Linked DNA regions of Styela clava. The protein of the gene in region 2 purifies or fractionates together with the protein of the main gene of each other region. This does not show direct contact. Links are inferred from orthologs where the notes say so. Each region holds a gene or a part of one and is shown on either strand. Other genes may lie near its edges.

Region 1 (3,935 bases), on a different chromosome or scaffold from region 2:
AATAAGAGGCATTCGGAGAGCATCCTGAATATTTTACATCTTCTTTAGATGCTCTCACGTACCCGAGTGCATTGAATGTTGCAACATGTTTCCAGGGACTGGAACAAGACTCACTGGGAGTGTCAGATTCCCATACTAAAGCGTCAATATCATGTCGCAGCACTGTACATAATTTATGATTATAGTAACAGTTAAATAGCCACTGATTACTTGCTATGCCTGCTTCATAAGTGAATTTGTTTTCTGTAGCATCAAACATGTACAGCATTGAATCCGCATCAGGCAAGTCATCACAATCCTCGTAGTGATCAAGGCCTGTAGGCTGAAAACCTCTTGCTTCTAAATCTGCCATTTCATCTTTTGTCTCCATGTCAACATCTTGATCTGCGTTGTTGGGAATCATCTGACCACTAGTGTCACCTAATATAACAATTGGCCAGTTTTGGCCTTCCAATTCTTTTGAGATTGTTACGGTCAAGGTTTGGCCCTCAACAGACCAGTTACTCGATTCATGGTCGACTTCGACAAATAGTTTCCCATCCAGAACATAACTAATCTTTCCTGTCGCATCCTTGAAACCAACAGTTAACTTACTTTTGGACAAGCCATATACAACAGAAGTTTTGTCTGCTCCTTCTGGCATAGGAATCATAACAGTTACATCTTCATCTGTTTGAGTCCATTTATACAGAGATTCTGAATTTTCTGGTGCGGAGTCCATTTTATCAGCAGCTTCTCCATTCTCAATCTCCATTTCTTCACTCAAAACCTGCTGTTCCCAATCAGTAGCATATTTCATTGGTGAATGTGACCCGATGAATAATTCTTTACCACTTTCACCCAAGGTGGCATAGAAAGGTGCTTGTTTCCCTTTGAACATTCTATGTTCGCCAATTTCAAATTTGGACTTTTCATCATATCGAAATAACCAAGTCCATTCCACAACAGCTTGTGATATCACGGCATCATCTTTCTTTTCATCCTGAAATCGTAAAGTCAAAATATCAATGACATCTTTTTTTCCATGATCTCCAGATTCAGGTTCTGCATCTTCAAAATGCTGCCGTGAACACAGAAGTACAGAAGGTTCCGAATTTTCACCTACTATGTTCCCACTTAATAAGATAGTCCATTTTGTTTTTTGAGTTGTATCAGTTTGCCGGTTCCCAGTATCAAGAAGATATACCAATCCTGCCCCATCAGATATCAAGCATAAATTAGCTGAGGGGAAAGATATTGTTACAGGCATATGCCTTTCAGTTTGTAAAAAATGAGATCCTAGTTGAAAAACTGATCGAGGTTGTCCTATTGAAGCCTCAACAATAACAGACAAACGTTTAATATGACCAGCTTTATCCACAAAATAGCATTCTTTTTCATTCCATGGATCGCCAAATAAGTAGTTGTGAAGGGAGAGAACCTTTGTTCGATTGTATGAGAAATCGTCATTAGCCAAAGTTACCGTATCTAATTCACAGTCTGGATTTACATGATACACCGGCAATTGCTGTAGAGACAGCTTATATGATTCAAAAGTAGAATCCAATAAATTCCAGTCAGGACGCAAATTAATATTTTTGGCATCCATTTTATGATAATTTTACACTGAAGAGCACTAAAAATATATCATAATTGCACTGATAACCAAACCTTACAATCGTGAGGAATTTGACAAAATCAAGCAAGTGGTCATCGAAAATTGTGTGACTAAATGTGAACACTGATAAAAAACGATGAATGAGAATATACACTTGCAGATAGTTAAATTAGGTAACATTTATCATCGTAGCGAAATATGATACAACATATCCTTTTAAAATTCAATATCCAGGATTTGGAGCACACCTTCATGTAAACAACATGCAGACATGGCATAAAATAGTCAATCATAAAAAGAAGTACAGTGCATAGCCAAAAATTGATATTATTTCTTCCTATTAAAAATTTACATCACTAGAATTTTTTAAAAAACTAATAGAAACTTTCAATTTTGAGGACAAAATTTTCAGATTCGTTCGAATGTCGTTCATATATTTTGAATATTTTTCATCCTCTGGTGAGAGGGTTATAAACTCGTTTATAAGCGAGATTGTGTTTTTCAACTTTAATGTAAGTTTACTTTGGTCGGGAGAAGATTTAAAATTATTTGAGTTTGCACTACTCGATAAATTTTTCAGCTGCATAATGTATGTTTCACAAAATCCCAGATAAAAAACAATTTCTCCAGCTGTCAAACGTCCTTGGTTCAATCCTGTTGAAAAACCTTCCAGCTTTCCAACTCTGGATCCGTGCGCTATTCCTTCTACATACCCACGATCTCTTTCGCGTGAATCACCGAAAAGAATTACATCAAACTCGTCTTCCATTTCTGACTCCACCGCGATAGTCCAGGTAAAATAAAATTTTGTTTCTACAAAGCAACTGCAGCACGCGTGGCGTCACGTAGGCAATAAGTGGCAGCATACATCGAAGAGGTGACATGAAAACAAAAATCGTTTACTTATTGGACACGTAGTGGACATAACGATCGTTTCAATGTTATGTTGTTCTTGTTGTTTGACACAGAATAACACACCTAGTAGAAATATTAAAAAACCGCTTTTCTCTTCGAATACTGGACCAATTGCTTTGAAATTTTCAGTGGTTGGAGATAAAAATTTTCCCAATTTTAAATATTTCTGTTAGCTCTGTGAGATTTGTTTTCGTTCTGTGGACATCGGACGCCATTTTGTGTCCTACTGTACTGCTTCGCTTGGTGCACTGACATTAAACAACATGATGCGCAACTACGGCATTTTTGGCCGAAGATCGTATCCGATAGCACGCTCCAATGCACATACTTGACGAGACGAAAACGAGCGGATGTGTGCTGCTTTCAAGGCATAGCACGAATGGTGTTCGTGCCGGCTTTGACAGTTGTTGTCGATTTTATTGATATTTTGGAAAGTTGAGGTTGTTGTATACCACATCCGGGCATCGCACTGTTAAGTACTTGTGGGAAAGCCAGCTTTTGTCAAATACTACGAAGTTAATAATTCAGTACGGTACGTAGTTGCCCATTTGCCAAAATTGCATATTTACTTACCTCTTATGGTTTCAAATAGTTCATGCACCTCCATTTAGATTTTTTTTAATCAGTGAGGATTGAATCAAAGGGTTAACAAGTTCACCTAACATTTCACTCATACCGGTCTATATTGTATAGTCTGATCTCTCAAGTATATGGAGCCACGAATGCTTGTAATTTTCTGACTAAATTCCTTTATTAGTTGGTTTATATACCAAATTCAATATAACATTTTTTACATTAAACATGAGATGTTGGCCTTATTAGCTTTTCCATTCTAAATCATATAGACTGCTTCATTTATTCTTGACGAAAATTAATAAATCTCCTCTCCTTCTTCAGATGTGAATCTGGACAAACCTGTTTAAGCATTGTGAAACTCCTGCAGCACAAGAGGCAATAGCAAAAATAGTAAGTATATCAATCAAGAAATTAAGCCGACATAAAGCAAAAGTTTCAACTATTCGTCTGATCTCAATTTCCTATTATTTATTCACAGGACAACTATAGCAGAAGGGGAGATATCAGAAGTCTGGCGACATATCAGTGACCGTGTGATTCCAAGAAATATAATTAGAGTACTCCATAAATTTTTGCAATAGAAAAACAACCTATGGAGGCATGCAAAGACATTTGACCCTCCGGTAGAGTTGTGTAAGGCCCCCACACCCTGCAGGGCTAGAAAATAACAAAAAATTCAAAAGCGTGAGCTTGCATAAGCGGTCCTATTTGTAAAAAGGCACAAAACACGCCAGACATACTTATAACAGCTACACCTGTGTTATATTGGTTCATCAACTTTTGGTAGTACTATAGAAGAAATTCAGGAAAGGGTATATTCATGATAAAATACTGTTATATATATTTT
Region 2 (3,935 bases):
ATATCATCTCGTTACGGGATCAAAGTCATGCGCAAATGAGCCAATTTTTTGGTGCGATCTGAGTTATGCGTGTATGCGACCATTCTGAAGAATGCATGGACTGCAGACTGTTGCCATGATTAAAAATGCACCGTGTACCGCTACGCATGTTAGGCATTGGCAGTCGACTCATCAACCATATTACTGTGAGACAAGTGAAAAGAAAGTCAGGATTGCAAGTGGTGGCACAACTGCTATTTTCATTCGGAGTGACTTCGATCGATGATGGTATTTCGTTCATTTGTGTTTTAATTTTGAAATATTACCGTGCTGTTTTGTTTGGCTAGCATCTTTATTAAATTGAGATAAACTACCTTTGAATAGCCTAGTCTATACAATACCTGATAACAAATTCTTGACATAATCTTTATCATCAGCAATGCATAATGCTGGAAACATTGTCTTATGTCTGTTAAAATCGGGTCCTTTGTCATTCCCATCGCTTTTTGAATCATTTTTTAACTTTTTATCTGAAAGGAAAATATAAATGTTTACAAATATTATGCCAGTAAGAATTGTTTCAAATGTATGAAATTAACAAATGAAAAAAATCTACAATTGGTGTACAAACGCAATTATTTCATAGTAACATGAGACATGGATTCTACAACCTAAAGATTTTATGGTCTCAATTCAGAAAAAAGAACTACAAATCTACAAATTTATGTCAAACAGAAACAACATATTTCAACATTCTAGGAATCACAAAAATTATGTTGACAAAACTGCTCAGATGTGTAACATTTTCTACAGTTGTCAACGACCTGGTCATCATTTCTTCAGCTGAATAATTAGTCTCTGCCATTTTGGACAATATTCATTTAACACATACTATTGACATTCAGTTATTATCGAACAGTTACTCAATAATAACCAAACCCAAGCTATAAACAGTCTATTAGACGCCACATTACGGAATCATCCAAAAACCGAGAGTATATATGAATGATGGACATACTCTTTTTTCTTTTCTTTTGTGGTGGCCTCATTCTATGTATAAGAGACAAAAGATTTCTTGTAAAAGAATGTGGAAACTCTGCTCCATTTTTAGCTAATGCCGATGAGAATGACTCGACAGTGACATGTTTTCCAGCGAGATTGATGACAAATTCCGCTAAATAGAAATATTATAACTATTTTACTTCAGTTTCTTTGACTATGCATTCAATGAACTTGTAATCTCCCAATCAGCCAAAATGCTTGCAAGTAAGCTTTATATTAATGAATTCAGATATTTATTTTGTTGTCCAAGATATATTGTAACAACAAAATTAATCAGAAATAGTATTAAAAATAAAAATTGAAATAAACAGACATACAATATTGCCGCAAAAGGCCACCAAAGTCATAGTGTCAGCGACACTGTCAAGTATTCAAAATATCCAAAAACTTTTAAATTAAAAAATTTACAAGCCTGATTTTTTATTTTCTAACCTTCGGTAAGGTTTTGTTGTACGAAGACACCTAACTTATGCTATACACCAACAACTGGACCATCACAGAAACATGCTAATGTGTCAGGTTGTTCAGTTAATAAAAATGTCTGAGATGCCACCAAGTTTACTGAACTTATAAACTTATGTTAGAATGTGTCGAAAAAATCGATGCTTACTGAAAATTGGACATAAGAATGTAAAAAGAACTACAATACCTAAATCTTTATCGTTCATTCCAAGATGGTTGTCTAATTCTGTACAAACTTTCGACACAAGAGAAAGATATTCAAGTTTTTCCAAGTCATCCATAATTTTGCATAGATGGTCCCAAAATTATCTAAATTCTGAAATTACAAAATGCAAGCAAAAATTACTACAGTTAGTATTACATAGTGCAGTTTGTCAGCAGCTCTTGGCGTAATTCTGCAGTTCTGTAAAGCAAAAAACCATACAGCCAAGATGCTTTAGTTAAGGTACATCTGGTATGTAAAGAAGAAGGGAAAAAGAGAACGGTCTGGTCAAGTACACGATATAACTCTGATTCTATACAAGTATCAGATTTATAGACCTTCCTTCTGCCAGTGTCACGAGTGTTATCTTCGTATTGCTGTATTGAGGTTTCATTATTCAGTTTCTAATGGGACAGAGAAAGAGGGATTTTATTTTTTCGTCAACCAAAATAATATAACAGTCATCGTACTAATAAAAATAATAACAATCAATTAGTAATAGTAGACAGGAGGGAGTAATACGACCAGACGATCATCAAAGTCAACTCCCTCTTTCATGCTGTTATGTTTACAGAGTTTAACATTCACAATTTCAGATGACTAAATAAGAGGTAGAACATCTGGATTTACATATTTATCCAAAGAGCTGGAAGGAGAGGAAAGTCTATTACCCCCCCCCCCCCCTAACCACATGCTGACATGGCAAACCATGGCCTCACGTCCGGGTACCATTCCACGTCGGATACCGTATGGGATTAGTTAGTTATTTGTTTTAGGAAGCATGAACTTGATTCTAGTATTTAAAATTATATTCACAAAATGGAAGAATGAACTTGGAGAGTAATTCTGGAACGCTAGAGTAAATCATTTTTATTTGTGTAATGTCACAAAAGCATCTTCATGTTGAGGTTTCAGTACAGCAATATCAAATCCTTATACTGTTATACCTGAATTTGTATAGGTCTACTGTGATAAACCGAATAAAAATTTGATAAGCTACAAGGTAAAATTTTGGTTACACAAACAGACATAATTAATATGAATTTAAGCAAACAAACATAGGGCCTATAAAAAACTTAAATCAATAACATCAGGGTACGGTGGCTTACCCACTTTGCGGCCACAACCTATTTGCGACCATCACTTCATCGATTATTACTGCCAAAAAAATTAACGAGCCGCGACGATATTTCTCACGCGTTATCGTCACTGAACTGGAAATATATTTATATATCTCTGTGGTTATCGTCCACTTATCCCTCGTAGCTCTGCGAAATTACACTAAAATGCGGCCACAACAAAAAAAGTTACGACCGAAAACCCGACCGAAGAAAAAAAACGGACTGTTTTCCCATGTCGCCAACTATCCATTGTTCCTTTAAAAAGCTTGAAAATTCATACAAATATAGGAGATAAAGAGATGAAACTTGGCAGGTGGATAGAGTTGTGTTTCTTTTTACCATCTTTAAAGTGGGCATGGCTGCGTATGCCCTAGTCTCGATGCAGCAGAAACGATGTTCAAGGCTTGAAAGCCGTGGTCGCACACTGGTCGTTCGGTCGCAAATACGTCTTCAGAGTGTCGTACTTTGGTGGTTTGTATTGCTTTAACCCCTGGTCGTAGAAAGTTAATTCGAGGTTTAGCTTGTAGAATAAATGCCGATGCACCTACAGTGAAAAAATTAACGGGTTAGAAATATTGGTTTTTGTTTTATAGCGGTTTGAATGAAATCGTCCGCAGATTGGCTACACCACCCTAGTTCCATCAGCATCAGGCACGTTATTTCCAGATAATCCATACGGCAACCTGGCAACAGTGTTCAATTTTCTTAATTTGTCATATAGAATTATAGATTATTGTTATATACAACTTTACAAGGTTGAATTTTATAACCTCTATTCGTGGGAAATCGGGGTGCACAGTTCAGGTACGGTTAACTTACCTAAATCTTACTCGGCTGAGTGGCGCATGTGCTAAGGGTCAGGAATACGCTCGCCACCGCATCTCTGATTACCCTTCGTGAGATTGCAGGTTCGAATCCCATGCGGGGATGATCATGTGCGAGAGGATGGCTGGACTCCTCGCCGCCGTAGGGTGGTTCACGTAACCGCTGGTCGGCTACGGCTTCCTCCACCATCGAGTCCATGCTTCCGAAAACAAATAACTGGCTAACTAATCCCATGCCCGACCTGGACTGGTAACCGGACGAGAGGCCGTGATTCGCCATATGAT

Evidence for each region.
Region 1: the proteins of ATP-dependent RNA helicase DHX8-like (region 2) and nudC domain-containing protein 1-like purify together in Homo sapiens (affinity purification with mass spectrometry; 3 studies listed by BioGRID and IntAct, counting the BioPlex papers as one, with this or other methods). This does not show direct contact. The link is inferred for Styela clava from reciprocal best matches to the Homo sapiens genes DHX8 and NUDCD1.

What each region holds. Positions count from the first base shown.
Region 1 is NC_135256.1:18,149,039-18,152,973, forward strand, and holds the start of nudC domain-containing protein 1-like, read right to left. Parts: upstream 2,656-3,935; 5' UTR 1,589-2,655; coding exon 1-1,588.
Region 2 is NC_135250.1:15,238,643-15,242,577, reverse strand, and holds the start of ATP-dependent RNA helicase DHX8-like, read right to left. Parts: upstream 2,914-3,935; 5' UTR 2,815-2,913; intron 1,820-2,814; 5' UTR 1,785-1,819; coding exon 1,691-1,784; intron 1,154-1,690; coding exon 998-1,153; intron 510-997; coding exon 381-509; intron 1-380.